Rattus norvegicus: one gene and its partners. The protein of the gene in region 2 interacts with the protein of the main gene of each other region in a biochemical or structural test. Links are inferred from orthologs where the notes say so. Each region holds a gene or a part of one and is shown on either strand. Other genes may lie near its edges. The genes, in order: Faslg, Fyn, Mapt and Eno1.

The links.
Region 1: the proteins of Fyn (region 2) and Faslg form a complex in vitro, tested with the Homo sapiens proteins (4 studies listed by BioGRID and IntAct, with this or other methods). The link is inferred for Rattus norvegicus from reciprocal best matches to the Homo sapiens genes FYN and FASLG.
Region 3: of the proteins of Fyn (region 2) and Mapt, one has a biochemical effect on the other in vitro, tested with the Homo sapiens proteins (10 studies listed by BioGRID and IntAct, with this or other methods). The link is inferred for Rattus norvegicus from reciprocal best matches to the Homo sapiens genes FYN and MAPT.
Region 4: of the proteins of Fyn (region 2) and Eno1, one has a biochemical effect on the other in vitro, tested with the Homo sapiens proteins (2 studies listed by BioGRID). The link is inferred for Rattus norvegicus from reciprocal best matches to the Homo sapiens genes FYN and ENO1.

Annotation. Positions count from the first base shown.
Region 1 is NC_086031.1:76,692,695-76,696,723, reverse strand, and holds the start of Faslg (tumor necrosis factor ligand superfamily member 6), read left to right. Parts: upstream 1-1,220; 5' UTR 1,221-1,293; coding exon 1,294-1,632; intron 1,633-2,318; coding exon 2,319-2,364; intron 2,365-4,029. UniProt on the Homo sapiens protein: Cytokine that binds to TNFRSF6/FAS, a receptor that transduces the apoptotic signal into cells. Involved in cytotoxic T-cell-mediated apoptosis, natural killer cell-mediated apoptosis and in T-cell development.
Region 2 is NC_086038.1:44,321,461-44,325,507, reverse strand, and holds the start of Fyn (tyrosine-protein kinase Fyn), read right to left. Parts: upstream 2,845-4,047; 5' UTR 2,768-2,844; coding exon of another isoform or gene 2,735-2,767; intron 2,556-2,734; exon of another isoform or gene 1-2,555. UniProt on the Homo sapiens protein: Non-receptor tyrosine-protein kinase that plays a role in many biological processes including regulation of cell growth and survival, cell adhesion, integrin-mediated signaling, cytoskeletal remodeling, cell motility, immune response and axon guidance.
Region 3 is NC_086028.1:89,637,259-89,641,463, reverse strand, and holds the start of Mapt (microtubule-associated protein tau), read right to left. Parts: upstream 2,840-4,205; 5' UTR 2,709-2,839; intron 1-2,708. UniProt on the Homo sapiens protein: Promotes microtubule assembly and stability, and might be involved in the establishment and maintenance of neuronal polarity.
Region 4 is NC_086023.1:166,002,100-166,006,171, forward strand, and holds the start of Eno1 (alpha-enolase), read left to right. Parts: upstream 1-1,261; 5' UTR 1,262-1,373; intron 1,374-2,621; exon of another isoform or gene 2,622-2,673; intron 2,674-3,329; 5' UTR 3,330-3,338; coding exon 3,339-3,423; intron 3,424-4,072. UniProt on the Homo sapiens protein: Glycolytic enzyme the catalyzes the conversion of 2-phosphoglycerate to phosphoenolpyruvate. In addition to glycolysis, involved in various processes such as growth control, hypoxia tolerance and allergic responses.

The DNA of each region.
Region 1 (4,029 bases), on a different chromosome or scaffold from region 2:
AGAGATATAACACTTTGGGAGTTTTTCAGCATAGGCGAGAGAGGTAAGGTGCTCATCCCAGACATCCCAACGCAGAAGATAAAAACTAAAACCTCTTAAAGAGTAGAGTTGCCCCCCCCCCAAAAAAAAGGTGGAGTATAGGAACTTACTGGGATTTGTATGGTTTATATGGGGAAGTGATGGGAACCAAGGCTGAGTTCTTAGAGGTTGTTAGGCATACATAAATGCTGTGTATGTGGGGCCAGAAGACTGAAATCAAACCTAGGGAGTGGTCAGTTTTTAGAAAGGCATAAATTTGCTGTAAATGTTGAGTAATGCTCAGTCTGTCCTGTGCGATGCTTAAGGTACACTTGCTATAGAAAAGAATTATTTACCGCTTACCCAAACTCTTCTGAATTAGGCACTTCAAGTTTCATTTGGTAACCAGAATAGGGATTGTGAAGTTAAATGATTACAGAGTAGGAAGGGGAAGTGGGATAGGAGGCAGGCGCAGTGGGGGCAGGGCTGCCTGGTGTTCAGAGATGGCCAGGGGATGTGTCCTACTCTTCTGTTTCCAAAGAGAATAGAAGTACGCATTTTTATTGCGTGCGATCTCAATTTTGAAAGAGGGCAACTAAGGGAACCAAAAACATTGGTGATAGGAAAGCAATCCTGTGGTACCAAGGATATATGGGCCTGGTGGTGGTTTGTAACCTCTGATCCAATCTGTGGAATGGGTGGGGCGACTTTTACCCTCTCAACTATGAAATGGGGGCTCGGTAGAGGGAAGGACAGCAATTGAGGATTAAATTCCCTGTGCTCGGATTGTAGAGATCGCTTCCCTAGCCAAACGCCTTGGTCTTTTCCCAGTGCCTTAGCACCAACAGCCCTCACAGGACACACCCCATAGCACAGGTCTTGCAGCTGTGGAATAGCTAATGTCCTCTAGGGGTATCCAGCGCTGATTTGCTGAGTGGGACCTCAGGCAGGTAAGCCTGGTTTACCAGTGAGCACAGAGATGCCAATTGGAACTTCGAAGAGTTTTCGTCAGAAATTTGTGGGCGGAAACTTCCTGGGGTTGCTGTGAGCTTTTTTTTTTCTTTTAAGGCTTCTCAGCTTCAGATGCAAATGAGTGGGTGTCTCACGGAGAAGCAAAGAGAAGAGAACTGGAGAGAGGTGTTTCCCTTGACTGTGGAAACTTTATAAAGAAAACTCACTTACCTTCTCTGGAGCAGTCAGCATCAGAGTCCTGTCCTTGACACTTCAGTCTCCACAAGACTGAGAGGAGGAAACCCTTTCCTGGGGCTGGGTGCCATGCAGCAGCCCGTGAATTACCCATGTCCCCAGATCTACTGGGTAGACAGCAGTGCCACTTCTCCTTGGGCTCCTCCAGGGTCAGTTTTTTCTTGTCCATCCTCTGGGCCTAGAGGGCCAGGACAAAGGAGACCACCGCCTCCACCACCACCTCCATCACCACTACCACCGCCTTCCCAACCACCCCCGCTGCCTCCACTAAGCCCTCTAAAGAAGAAGGACAACATAGAGCTGTGGCTACCGGTGATATTTTTCATGGTGCTGGTGGCTCTGGTTGGAATGGGGTTAGGAATGTATCAACTCTTTCATCTACAGAAGGAACTGGCAGAACTCCGTGAGGTAAGTCTAGCACATGGGTTAATAGGCCCTTGAGTTCCTGGACTCTGCTGTGTGGGAGTAGGGACTTGCTATGGCCCATGTGGGCCACTGTGTTGTTTGCAATGATTTGAGGTTTTTGCTGTTGTTTTGTTTTGAATGGCAAAGATCTTATTGATCCCCTCGCTTTTAGAAAAGAGTTGTTATAGTCTCTTCTTTCTAGTTGGAGAAGCAGGCGTTCACTCCCTCAAAGAGAGTGATCCTCACTCAACCTGTGGGTCATGACCCCTTAGTGGGGGAGCCATTTTATGGCTGGGGGTCACCACAACATGAGGAACTGTATTAAAGAGCTGCGGTGTTCCCTTGAGAACCACTGCTCAAAGGAAGTTATTTTCCACCTTCTAGACAATTCGAAGCAAATAATTATTCTTCTCTCACTTGTCAATGGTGTTTGATGAACTTTTTATTGCTTCATATTTAGTGATTCAAGGAAGAAGATAAACTTTAAATCTTGTTCAGAAGTGTAAATAAATCTCTTTGAAAAGACTTAGAAGCCTTACTATAACTCTAGATACAATTGCATGGCCAAACTCTAACTCAGTCAGGGTCTGACATATTTGAGTCCTCTTTCTATGGACTGCTGTGACTTCTGCCTCCTTGGCTTAAATAACTCCACATTTATTCTATGACTCTTTTTTCCCCCCCACTAGTTCACCAACCACAGCCTTAGAGTATCATCTTTTGAAAAGCAAATAGGTAAGTACTTTTATGTCTGTCTTTTGAGTTCCCGGAGGAACTCAACACTCAACAAAGTTGTGAGGATGCTTGAGATTCCGTCCCATTCTTGGGCTCATGATTCCTAGGCACAAAATCCTGAGGAACTTTTAACTCTTTGTTCAGTGTGAAAAGGTAGTTTACTGCTCAATATCAGTGTATCTGAATGAATATCGAACGTAACTCAATAGAATTTGGACTTGACTGGAAAGGAGCACACATACAGCCCTGGATCTTTTCCCTTGGCTCCTTCCATGGATATCTTGGTCCCATCTTACATTGTGGTGACTGTGACTCCTAAGGACAGAGGCAAAAATACTAGATGCACAATATTAGACCAATTAGGTTCAATGCCCAGCTTCCCTGGTATGAAACTGGGGCTAAGAGAACAGTCCCCTGACGCCTTGCTATCTATTAAGACTTTACAACGCACAGAGAAACTCCCACCTTTCAATAACGGCTGAGAAATGAGAAGCAAATGCAAAGCTGGTGTCTCTTGCAAGGGCAACACAACAGTTTTATCCTAATAACTGAAGAAAACCGAACCTTCCATCAAAAGGAGTGCTGGCTCCACACTCAGTGCGGCTTGGTCTTCATGTGGGTCCCTCAACAACTGGAGTGGGGGCTGTCCCTGAATCTGTTGCCTTCCTGTGGATCCCACTCCCCTAACTGGGCTGCCATGTCTGGCCTCAGTGGGAGAGGATGTGCCTAATCCTGAGTGACTTGATGTGCCAGAGTGGATTGATATCGGGGGGGGGGGGATGGGGGTGGGGGTCGCTCCCGCTTCTCAAAGGAGAAGAGGAGGGGTAGGAGGAGGGACTGTGTGAGGGAGGATGGGGGAGTGGCTGCAACCCGGATGTAAAGTGAATAAATAAATTAATTAATGGAAAGGAAGGAAGGAAAGAAAGAAGGAAGAAAGAAAGGGAGGAAGGGAGAGGGAGACGGAGAGGGAGAGAGAGAGGGAGAGAGAGAGACAGACAGAGAGAGACAGGAAGGAAGGAAGGAAGGAAGGAAGGAAGGAAGGAAGGAAGGAAGGGGATATAAGCTCTTTCAGGGGTCACTATGGTGTGCTCTGGTTTTCAGCTCTGCATTCAAGTCTCTAAGGACCAGAGCCCAGTTTACACAGGCACAGTGGAAAATGACTTGTTAGAAAAATGAAACTTCTCAGGATTTCTGAAATGAAATCATTTTGAAAATCAGTGGAGCGTGGCTTATGAAACAGATGGCACTCACTCATTTTCACCCACTCGATGGAATCATTTTAGTGAAGAGAAGTCAAATGAACAGATGAGTCAGGTCGCCTACCCAGTGGTTATCTTCAGAAATTGATAAACCATCACAAGAACGTCAAAAATTGAAACTTTACTATTAAGAGGAGCTTATTTAAAAAAAGGAGTATTTATTTCTTCAATCAAATTCATAAAAAGAAAAAAACCCCAAAGATTATCAAATGAGAGAGAGAGAGAGAGAGAGAGAGAGAGAGAGAGAGAGAGAGAGGAAAAGCCACGTTTGGCACAAGTTTCATCCAGCATGCATGGAGATTGCTGTAAGAATTCTGAAGAACACTAAGAAAGTTCATACCGAGGTCTTGAACTGTCAGTCTACCTTGTCATCGCATCACCGAAGGGTTCTTTTGGCTGGGAGTGT
Region 2 (4,047 bases):
CAGCATCACTCATTGTACAGGAGCAAGCCCCCTTCTGAGCAGAAACACACGTATGTGGTGCTATCACAGGGGCACAGACGAATCTCTTGTGTTTTTGTACCATGATACATTCTCAGGCCTACTATAGCTACTAACATGAGTCTTCTTAAAAGACGCTGGGTACGTACGTACGTATGTATCGTTGATCTGATTCATATTTGTCGCTCATTAAATGAAGCCACCAAGTAATACCAACCAGAGTAAAACCCAATGAAAATGAGACAAGCCAGATTAGGTTCTCGACCCAGTGGCAGAAATGGACAATAAACAAAAACAGACTCTGACGATGGTGTTGGGAGACAAATTTGGAGACATGGTGGCTTGGCTGGAGCAGAGAAGCCGGTGAAGGTTTCAGAATAGAGACAACATTTGTGCTGGGCCTGGGCTTCAGAACATCAGAAGAGGTGGGGACTCCAGACCGTCAGAAAATAGAGGGCATTTGCTCACACTCATTTAACCTTATTAATAAGTGCCTCTGACTTGGTCAGTACAGTGTGAGTTTATTGTGTATTGACTTTCCTTTCTGGGTTTGGCATCCCAACAAACCAGCCTTTGTTTCCAGAGAGCATTCATTATTAACCCTTCTGCTGTATGTATGGTGTGTGTGTGTGTGTGTGTGTGTGTGTGTGTGTGTGTATGTGTGTATATGTGTGTACATGTATGTATGTGTGTATATGTGTATCTGTGTGTGTATATATATGTGTGTATATGTGTATATGTGTGTATATGTGTGTACATGTATGTATGTGTATATATGTGTATCTGTGTATGTATATGTGTGTGCATGTATGTATGTGTATGTATGTATATGTGTGTACATGTATGTATGTATGTTCCACAATGGATGTCAGCTTAATTCATCACAACTCTTTTCAGATAAAACAGCTAAAAAGTAAACTTGGGACAGTTCCGTTACTTTGAACACTTGAGGCCCCACAACATGATCCAGGAATCAGCAGACTACACCAAAGTTTCTGACACACTATGTCTGAGATTTACATGAATATCTCTACCTTAAGAGGAACATCATGGGTTCTGAATCCAGTCATCTACACCCCCGGCTCATAGTCAGCTAGCCCCAAAGCTTGAGAGTTGAAACCACTTCCTCCCAAGTCTGAGGGCATGGTACTCGTGGGGCAGGGGCAGGGGCAGGGAGACTGAGCACAAAGGGTGAAAACTACTGTAAGCTGCTTTGGTGCTGAGAGGATGTGGGCATCCAAAGTCACCCTTGAACCAGACAAGTGGTGCCTCCAGGGTCTTCCGAACGCCAGCCCAAGTGCGTTCATGCCACAGCCCCGGTCACTTAAATAAAAGAGCATAGCTGGACACCACAGCACATTTCAAAAGACTTCATTCAGCAAAGCGGCCTTGGACTTTAGAGAATCCAGTCAGGCTGCCTCACTCTTGGTGAACTGATTCTGACTCAGACACAAAATTCTTCTGATCCCCCCACCCATTGATTTATCCTGTCTCAGGTATCAGTACCTATCCCCCAAGAAGAAAGGGGAGGAAAACGAGGGATGGAAGGAGGGTTCCTTGAAAGTATAGCAACTCCTAAAACAGCTGAAATAATTCCTCCCTTAAATAGGGGAAACTGCAGTTGCCACTCAATGCCACCACCCTGGGAATACAGCAAAATAAGTGCACCTGCCACCCGGGATCGGGAGCCTTCGTTTTTTGGTGAGTGTGGCAGAAAGGACTAGAGATCAACTGCTTCATCAGAAAGAAAGGGAAGCCCCAGGGATGAGACAAGAAGCATGGTGGTGCCTTGGGGACTTTATGTGTCTCTTTTCTATGAACTGAAAGGGCTCTTTGTGTCACACACACACACACACACACACACACACACACACACAGAGAGAGAGAGAGAGAGAGAGAGAGAGAGAGAGAGAGAGAGAGAGTCTGATTTATTAGAGGAAGGAGGGGCAAAATGGGTGATTTTATTATCCCTCCTCCCAGTGAGTCCCAGCCAATGCCTCCTGGGCCCAAGCTTGGTGGCCTCTTTCTAGCCCAGTCCCTGTGGCCTCAGAGATAAGAGAGCCTAGAGGAGACCAAACAAAACCATCTACCGACCTAGGGAAGTAGGGAGGAAATCCAGCGAGTCCAGAAGGGAGGAGGAATAAGCTTGAAAGCCGAAGGGGTGGGGGACAGAGGAAGAAAAGGCAAGGCCAGACACAGGGGAAAGGGGAAGGGTGGGTGGGTGGCAGCACAGGAAGGGTGAAGGGGAGGGTGGGGGAAGTGCAAGGGAGGTTCCAGAAATAGGCAGAAGGATGCGCTGGGGAAGGCAAGGGCCGCCGAGGGAGGAGGCCGGGAGGTGGAGGAGTGGGGCAGGGGTTGGGTGGGGAGGAAAGCAGCACCGGGCATCAATTATTAAGTGATTACATCATCCCTGACATTAAAACAACACACACAGCCCGGGTCCCCGCGGGGGGCTGCGAAAGGAGGGCGGAGGCGGAGCTGGGCCAACCTCGCCCCCAAGCCAATTCTTATTTTTTTCACCCGGCGCCTGCCGGCGGCCGAGGAATGGCACCCCGGTGCCCGCGCAGCCTCCGGGCGGCACCCCGCATCAGTGTCCTGCGTCGCGGGGCGCCCTGGAGGCTGCGCGGCGGGACCGCAGCGGGGGCAGCCCGTGCGGGGGCGCTGGGCCGGGCGTCTCCGCAGCATCCCGAGGCTCCGCGCATCCCCGGTCGCTTACCTGCGTGGCGTGGCGCTCGGTTCCGGAGCACATTCACATGGTCCTCTCCCCGCCCTCCTCCGGCGAGGCCCTGGCGGCTCCGGTGGCTCCGCGGCCGGGCCCAGGAGCTCGTGGGCCTCGCGAAGCGCCGAGGGGGCGGCGCCGGTGTCCCCGGCCCGGCAGCCCAGTCCCTCCCTGGCGCGGGCGGCGGCTTTGTGTGCGCCCGGGGAGTCCTCGGAGCGCTCCGGCTAGAGGCGGCCTCGCTGCGCTCTTGATCAGCGGGCGGGTCTCGGAGGCTCGGCGCACAGCGACCCCTCCTCCTCTCCGCGGAGCCCCCTCCCCGCCGGCTGCGCTCCTGACAGATGGCGCAACTGCACCGACGCGCCGCCGCCGCGGCTTCTCGCAGCTACTCTCGCTGATGCTCGGGCTGCTCCGGATCCCGAGGGGTTCGAGAGGGGGCGGGACACGCCCCGAGACTGTCAGTTCCTTCTGCCCTATCAAAGGGTCCGCTGAGGGCTGAGCGCAGTCAGCCATTGGTGCGCGCGTCGGAGGCGGGACGGCCATGGGTGGGGCCGCCGAGTGGGTTGAGCGTTACTGTGGTGGCGGGCAGCCTGGCGTGCGCAGGGCCACAGGGTGTGCGAGAGGATGCGAGGTTGAGGAGGAGAAGGAGGAGGTGTGTGTCTGAGGATCCTGTGGAGTTGCGAGTTGGTGGGGTGGACAGGAGAGAGCGCAGGGAACGAGCTGCTTTCCTACTTTGCTAGTGGAGACTGGCACCTGCCACTCGAGCCTCACAGCCATGGGAACCTATTTCTCCAAAGAAATAGGAGTGGGAGGATAAAGTGGAAAGGTGTTAAGAAGGGCGATGGCAAATTGGAGAAGTGAGGAGCAAAGTAGAGAAGTACCAGTGCAGAAACTGGGAAAGCTCGAACCAACAAATGCGCAACGAATAATAAGAAGAAGAAATTCATAATTTGCTAGTCTCATTTTCTTGAGCACCCAAATATGTTCATGTTCACACACACACATCAGGAAACGTGAGAGGAAGTATGACTAAAATTCAAGGGGCCTGCAACAAAGAACCTCCAAACCACACAGTAGAGATGCTTGGGCGCTTTCCTAGCTCTTTAGAGTAGCCATTGCCTGTCTGGCTTCTCGATGCATTCAAACTTCTCTTGGTTTTCTTGTTTTCATTGGTGGCTGGGCTGAGCTTTTTACTCAGATTTTCCTTGATGAAATAATAACTGGGTTGGTATGCAGTCGGTCTTTATTTCCGATTCAGCTTTTCTATGGCAGGATGTAACTTCATAAAAAGAAACACTTCGCCTTCCTGATTT
Region 3 (4,205 bases), on a different chromosome or scaffold from region 2:
CGAGCCTCTCAAACTCTGCAGTAGGATCATGCAGCAACCCGACGATCTTCCATTGACAACTCGAGCCTTGGAGAGCACAGTACCTCACTCGACCCCTCAACACAGTGCAAAATGGGAGAGAGTTCGAAGCGCGTGCGTGGTCCGAGCTTTGTTTCTGCGCTGAGTGAAATGTTCTCCCCCTCCCGCTGATCTTCCACCTACAGAACTGTGACACCTTTGCCCAACCGGTCGCTATTGACAGCCTCCCTCCCAGGCTCCCCTTTTCAGCGTCTACCCCAAGAGCCTGGCTTCTTCCAGATTAAGAATCCTGCTTCCAGCAGCCCGTCGTGTGGTGAGAGATGGGTCATATTTGAACCTATCTTTCAGATGCTCATGAAATCTCTGCGGGGCAGGCTCAGCCACGACGCCACAGCCTCAGGCCGCGGTTTGACTCGGAGAGGGCGTTCCTACCCCAGCCGAGACATTTTCAGAAATGCACATCAATCTAGGCAGCCTATGTGGGCAATTCGGCCCTTAAGGAGCTCGTGGGTCTCAAAACTGCTCGCCCGCACCAGTATTCAGCGGTAGAATTAACCAGAAAACCTCGAGCTTACTGTAGGGTGTGGAGGCTGATACCTGTTTGCTTTCTATCCCTCTCTGGTTTCAAGGGCTGTCGTACATGTGGACTTTTACGTGAAAGCCCCTCATTTTAGTAATATTAATAAAATAATATCAGTACGCTTATAATAAAAATACACTAGCATCTATCTGGATGGCTGTGGTTCTCAGTGCCCGAAAGAATGATGCTCGTCTTAGGGATGAGGGGCTCCTTGCTCGCGTCTTCTGGCACCATCAGACTACCCCAGGGTTCTGAATCTCTGCGGAGTAAGGGGCGGGAGGGGGGCGGGGTAACGCCTAGAGGTTCCTCCTCTGGCTGGTGTGGTTCCTATGGCAACCCCTAAACCCCACTCTGTGGGTTGGGAGGGATGGGTGTGGCCGCAGCACCCCAGGGGATCTCATACCCTTTCCTCACACTCTCCCACCGGGAGAGGCAACAGGGTTCAAAGGTGGCGGTGGGGGAGGGGGAGTCGAGCTTGCGGAATCTCCCCATTCCCGAGGGTTAGCTGGCTCCCCTAGCAGTGAAACACGATGGGGTGTGGTCCTCGAGACCGCCTGCCTGGGTGTGGGGAGAGATGTGCTTCCTCTGAGGATTCCTACTCACGAGAGTCCATCTCGAATCTCACCCATGTGGCTCTGGGTCGAACTGGGGAGAGGGCTGCGCGGGGTCATGTCCGTACCATGCGTGCCCTGGGGGTTGTGACTAGACCCTAGCAAGTCTGTAGATCCAACAAAGGGTCTGAAATGAGTGGCGAAAAAAAGGATGGAGTTGCTCAGAGCTCGTAGGCAAATACCCTCGTCGAATGAAAAGCTCCCCGCCCCCCGTAAAAAAAAAAAAAAAAAAAAGGGCTGAGAGCGCAGATCCTAAATCACAAGACGAACAAAGCAAGGAGCTCCCCTAGACCACCGCAGGTGAACGCTCGGGTGCGCACGGCTGCAGAAGCAAAACGCCAAGGTTTCCGTGTTCGTTACCCTCCTGCTCCTTAACATGGGTCCAAGCCGGGTCCTCCAAAGCCCGGCCACAGCTCTTGGCATGCTACGATAGAGACGTGACTCGCCGCGAAAAGATGGCACCTCGCGTTCAGAAGGGGAAAAAACCGGAGGAGGGGTGGCAGCGGGAGGAGACACAACCTACTCCCCCCTTCTCGCCCACCCAGGTCCACACCCACTGCCGCAGTGAGGGGCGAGCCCTGCGCGCCAGCCCGCGCCTCCGGCAGGGAGCGCCGCACACGCCGGGAACTCAGCGCAGAACGCAGAGAAAGAAACGCGCCCCGAAAATGCACCTGCAGCCCTCATGTGGGTCTATGCTGGCTGCCACGCTGCGCGCCCTCGAGCTGGGAGCCGCTGCTGGCCAGCCCGCTGACACCGCGAGGCCAGGTGACCCCTGCCTCTTCCAGCTCCCACATTGCGATCCGCGCACCACCTTCTCTCGGGCACGGCGCTGCCCCTGTCACTGTACCAAGCGCGCGCAGGGGGAAGGGCAGCTAAAGTGACAGCGCCTGGACCCCTCCCCATCCTCCCAGCCCCCAAATGTCCCCTTCCAGCTTCTGAAGGAGGAAAAGGGGAGGGGGCGGGCCACCGCCTTAAATCAGGGCCAGTGAAGGCCGTGTCAGAATCACTGTCAGGGAGGTGGAGGAGAGGCATGAAGGCGGTCATCTTTTCTAGAACCCGATCCACACCTTCCTTAGGGCTGATGGCAATCGAGGCAGAGAAATCCGATTTTAGATTTGGTTTCGGGGGTCGTCGTTGGACCCCCATACACACACGCAGACCCACGCCCATTGCGGCAAAAAGCTGATATCTAGATTATAGAACAACCCCTTCCCTAGGTCACCGTCATCCGCGCCCCACCCTGCGGGCACAGCCTCCCCCTCTTTTGCGCAGAGCCGATGGTGCGGACCCCAGCACTCATAGATACACGCATTCGCCCTCGTGCGTGCATCTCTTGCACGCGTTCCTTCCCAGCTCTCCAGCGCCGAGGGCGCAGAGAGGCCCCCGCCGTTGCGCCTGACTGATGCCCAGCGCCCTAAATCCACCTCTGGGGCGAGGGGCGGCAGGAGGATGGCGCACAGGGGCAGAAGGGGACCGGATTTCAGAGCTGCGGCGCTTACCTGATAATCGACAGGAGGCGAGGACAGAAGAGGACAGCGGAGGGGAAGGTGGTTGTGGCGGCGGCGACAGCAGAAGGTGGGCGGTGGCGCCGGCGCTGCTGCTGGTGCTGGAGCTGGTGGGTGGCGGAGACTGTGAGCGCGCGCGCGGCCGAGAGAGCGCGTTCTCGAGGCCGGCGGGCAGCGCAGGCGCGAGCCACGGGAACGCGAACCTCCCCAGGGGAGGGGCGGGCAGCGAGGCCTGTGTGGGCACCTCCCCTTCCGGCCGCCAGGGGGCGCGCGCGAACGCCCCACGCCCTCCCCTCTCCGCGCCGCCCGGCTCGCCCCTCTCCGCGCTTCCCTTCCCGGGTCCCGCCACGCCTCGGGCCGCGGTGCTGACCGCCGCGCGCACGCGCGTTCCGTGGCGCACGCGCACCCCGGCCGCCCGGGGCTGCAGCCTTTGTCTAGTCCAGGGGTCTCCTCCCTCGGTCCCCGCAGAGTCCAGGCAGAACGGTGTGCGGGTCGTCGTCCGCTTTTCAGTTCATCCTCGCTGGCTCTCCAGGTGGTAAACCGTTGGACCCCAAGTGCTACAGGCAGCTCGAGTCTCCCAAAATGTGGCCCTCCATATAGAGCGCACTTTCCCAGAGGCAGCTGTTTGCTTGCTTTTCTTTTTTTCTTTTTTTGGTTAATAGCCAAAGTGAATGATTTCTTTGAAGAACCCTCTTGAAACAGATTAAGTTGATCGTAATACACTTTAGAATTTTCCTGGAAAAAAAATTTTAAGTCAAGGAGCATTCAAACCCATTAGGTATCTTAACTGTGACCCTAGGGAAGAAAATTCTTAAAATAGGAAAGTTCTAATGCTTACTGCACTGCAAGACATTTTCACAGAGTTATTTTTATACGGTTTATTGAGACACCTTTGTACAGCCTGAGAGCTGAATTTTTAAGGTGCCTGCTGGAGATGGCCACCTGCTGGATGTCAGGCTTCCGGTTGGAACTACCCACTAATTCTCATTCCAGTCACCTAAGGTGTGGGCTGTGGCTCTAGCTTCTTTTCTTACCTCCCCAAAGCTCAAAGCTCTTGGACAGCTGGAGCCTGTTCAAATGCAAGGAAGAGAGGCAGGCACCTCCTGCCAGAGAGGTGAAAACTTGATTTGAAGCATAAATTTGCATGCTTTTTTTTTTTTTCAAGGCAGGTTCTCACTATGTTGCCCTGACTGGCTTAGGGCTCACAGAGATCCTCCTGCCTGCCTCTGCCTCTAGAGTGCTGAGATTCAAGGTGTACACTGCTATCCCAGCTATTGTTTAAAAACCTCCAATGTTGTGCCTGCTCCGTGTGCTGGTTCACATATGTAATTCCAGCATTCATGTAGACTGAGGCATGAGGTCAAGATCAGCCTGGGCTACATAGTGGAATCCAAGCCAGCCTGGATTGCAGGGTGAAAGTGGGTCTCAAAACAAACAAACAAACAAACAAACAAACAAACACCTGGGCTGGTGAGATGGCTCAGTTAAGAT
Region 4 (4,072 bases), on a different chromosome or scaffold from region 2:
TTGTTGGTTGTTTGTTGAGACAGGGTTTCTCTTTCTTTCTTTTTCTTTTTCTTTTTTTTTTTTTTTTTGAGACAAGGTCTCATTGCTTTGTCCTATCTAACTTAGAATTCACTATGTAGACCTGGCAGGCCTTGAACTCAGAGATCTGCCAGACTCTGCCTCCCGACAGCTGTGGTTAAACACCACCTTTATTTTCTTTATCAGAAAAGTAAAATGGCTCCACCCACCCCTTCCGGACATTTGTCACATCACTTTGTAGTATCAGTCTAAAGCTTTGAGAAATGCCTCGGGACTACATCAAACCCCAAACTCTAATCACGATTATGGATCTGAAGAGTCCGGGGAGGTTTCATCTAGACCACTGATGGGGGAAAGGTATTATTAAATCTTTCAAGAAGGGGACAGTAACAGAGATAGAGAATGAATCCACACTGAGCTAGCACATCGCAGAAAACAGGGAAAGTTCTAGAGTAGGGTGGAGTGGCTGGGTGGGTGTAGCACAAAGGTACTGCCTTTACTTAGCATGAGTTGGACGGTAGGATTCGGTATCCTCCACACAATAACAAATGAGTAGGTAATATTAAGGGAAAGTTTACTTTCCTTTGGGTAACTCGGCCTGAGACTCATTACAGAAAGGACAAAAGGACGGGGTCACCTTGGCAGATGGCACCAGAGAGCCAGGACCAGACTTGGTGGAGGCGGGGGGCGCCCAGTGCGCAGGCGCAGTAGCACATGCCCCCCCCTCCGTCAATTCCACGCGGGAGTGAGGCCCCTAGGCCGCGCATCAACGTTTCCACACCGCCGGGGGCTCCAGCACCTCCCGGCGGGGGGGGAGGCCCACAGGAAGGCCCAGCCCTAAAGGTCATCAGCAAGGTCGTGGGCCGGACGTGAGGCGCTGCAGCCCGGCCGAGTGCGTGTAGGACTCGGAGTACGTGCCGCGGGCTCAAGCCCTCATGCCTGCCGTGCAGCCCCGCCCCGCCCGGCATCCGGGCTCTGTAGACCCTCAGCTAGGCCCCAGGTTCCCAGCCGGAGGCTCGCCCGGCATTCCGCCTATGCCTCAGGCAGGCGAGGCCAGCCAGGAAGGACAACCCCCGCCCCCGTGCCCTTGCCCCTAGACCGGGCAGGCCAAGCGGCCGCCTTGGTCACGCTCTTCTCGTGGAGTGACGGCAGGCAGAGCCAATGGAGTGGCGGCACGGAGGGTGGGCGGACTCGAAAGGGGAGAAGTGGGTGGGGCCTAACGAGCAGGCTAGGAAGTCGGAGTGGGAGGCGCTTAGTGCTGCTCCGGTACCGAGTCGCGCTCACGTTTGTCCTTAAGACTCCCTTCGGTGTCTCCAGGACCCTCTTTCCTTCCTCCGCAGCGATCCTACTGCCAGGTATGGTCCGTGTTCCCCTTGGGCACAGCTCGCCTAGGAACTCCTCTTGGTGACCCGGTGAGCTCGGTCACCCCCTACTCTGGGCGCGAGCCGCTACCCTGGGAGCACTCGGGTCAGCCTCGTGGAAGGACGCAGGCTCTTGGAGGGTGGAGGTGCAGGCCCTCGCAGTCACCACCGAGCTTCAGGGTTGGAATGTAACCGGGTACCCAAGCGGACAACAGTAAATGCAGGCCACGGATAATCGCGGCCGTGGAGAATAAAAAAGTACTTGTTTCTATGTAGCTAAGTGGAAGGTTTTTGAGGGAGAGAGCGACTTAACCCCCGCCCCGGTGTTCATTAAATTTTTTCTCAAAATGGAAGGGCGATAAATAAGGATGCCCAAGAGGCAGAGCGCCCCACCCTAGTAGATCCTGCTGGGGCTGTGTCTCCTGAACCGCAATCGAGCGTCACTGGGCGGGAGTGGTCCAACCCATCTCTGCTCTGGAATATTACTGACCAGTGAGTGTCGGTTAGGTACTTGTAGTAGAGGAAATTGCAGCAGTCCCGTTGAATAAGTGGGAAGCAAGCCCTCAGGAGACCTCGACCGAGTTAGGCAAGAGCTGCGGGCTTACTGGGTGGCTACTAGTCGTAAGAAAACTTCCTGTCCTTTCTTGCCTAGACAATGTGGTCCCTTAGCTGACTTGCTTTCGGGGTAGGCCAGAGCCAGTCTGAGGTGATAAGCCTGACTGACCTCTAGATCCACTTTCCTGCCCTTAGTCCGGCGTTCAATCCCGATAGAGCGAGTGGGTGAGGTTTTCTTTGATTAGAGACCTTTGCTGCCTAGCTTAAAGATCCAAGCTAGATGCAAATGGTGGAAGGGGGGACCAACTCCTACAGGTTATAAAGCCTCTGCAGAGCGCCGCGGTGGCACGTGGCTCCCGCGCCCCCATAAAGGAACCAGGCCTGGTGATGCACACTTGAAAATCTAGCGCTTAGGGATGCTGAAGATGGGGATAACCGAGTTCGGGTCAGCTTGGCCTACATAGGAAGTGCAGGTGTGAGATTTTATAACAGTGGATAAAAAGTGGGTACTTTATTCCTGGTTAGTGAATAAAGGTCCTTTGTCTTAGAGAAGACAAGCACAGAAGTAACTTATATTGAAACAAAAAGTATGCCTTTGCTTCCTTGACCTCACCAGAAAAGGTGTAGGGAACCTATTTAGATAACAGCTTCCGAATGCTAATTGTCTTAATGTCTCATCCAATTTAGTTCTAGAAGCCGTTTGGTAGATTCCTTTCTTGGAAAGCCTGCTGGGGAAGAAGTAAGAAAGGGACCTTCTTTTTAGACTTGCTGTTTGTTGCTCAATATCCTCTTTCTCTGGGGTGTTTTCTAATTAGACATCTACTTTGGGTACCTTTTAAAGGCGAGACAAGGTCTCCCTTTGAAATAGAAGTCAACTCTTGCCTAAATATGGCGGCCATTGAACCCAGGACCGCCCACGTGTTAGGCATCTAGCCTGCATGTGCCACCGGGCTAGAGAATGGCAGTACTGATGACCACCAGCCAAGGAGTTTGGGATTCTGCCTTCCTCTCACAATTTCTTACTGGTTATCAAATCTGTGTCTGCTGAATGTTCTGCCCTTGCCATGGGTACAACTTGATGAATTGGGGTTTCTGTTTCCACAATCACCCTGCTTCACAATGTTGCATTTCCCTCCGGTCTACAGGTCTGTTTAATCGCTGACCTGCCTTCTCTGTTACTTCCCACTTCGCTGCGCAGCCAGAACATAGTTCTGTCCAGTTTGTATTTACCTAATTGCCCACAGAACACTTAGCTTCAGAGGGCTATAAGTGACTTCTGTACGTAGCCCACTTGTTCTCTGTCCAGGTCCAGGATCTTGGGGGTGATCTCTTGGGATAAATAAACCTTCTATATTAGAGTTTATGGGTAATATATGAACTATTTTCCCCCTACAGAACTTCACCATGTCCATTCTCAAGATCCATGCCAGAGAGATCTTTGACTCCCGCGGGAATCCCACCGTTGAGGTGGATCTCTACACCGCAAAAGGTACACGAACCCACATTATTTCCTGGTCTCTTGCACCACAGTTTATTGATAATGTGATGGGGAAGCAAGGCAGAGTCTGATCTACTCTGATCCCTCTGAGCCTTCCACCCACTGAGCCATCTGCCACCATGTCTGGCTTTGCTTCTTGGTATTTAAGACAGGATGTGGGTTGGGTAGGTCACCGGGGCAGGGAAGTAAGGGAGGGCTTAAGCCCTGGCTCCTGAAGAAGCCTGGCCTCCTGATCGGATCAGCCAATGGAGGGGGAAGCCTTCTCTCCCCACATGAAAGGAAGGAGACAGCCCGGAAGCTCTGCTTTTTCCTCTAGGCCAAGCTACCCATGGTGAGGAACTCGTGTGTTATAAGGGAGTGGGGATATAGTTTGGCAGAGCATTTGCTTAATATGTGGGAAGTCCTAAATTTAAATCACAGCATTGCAAGGAGAGATTGGCTGGGTGTGGCAGCGACTACCATAAATCTCAGCACTTGGGCCTGCTCAGGAGGGAGGATTGCCAGTTTTGAGACTAGCCTGGGCTACATAGCAAGGCCCTGTTTCTACTACTCAGAGACAAAACAAAAAAAAAGCCCACCCCTGCTGATTCCAGCATCTAGATGTAGAGATGCATGTAGTGGGTGCCATAGGAAAGAGGCC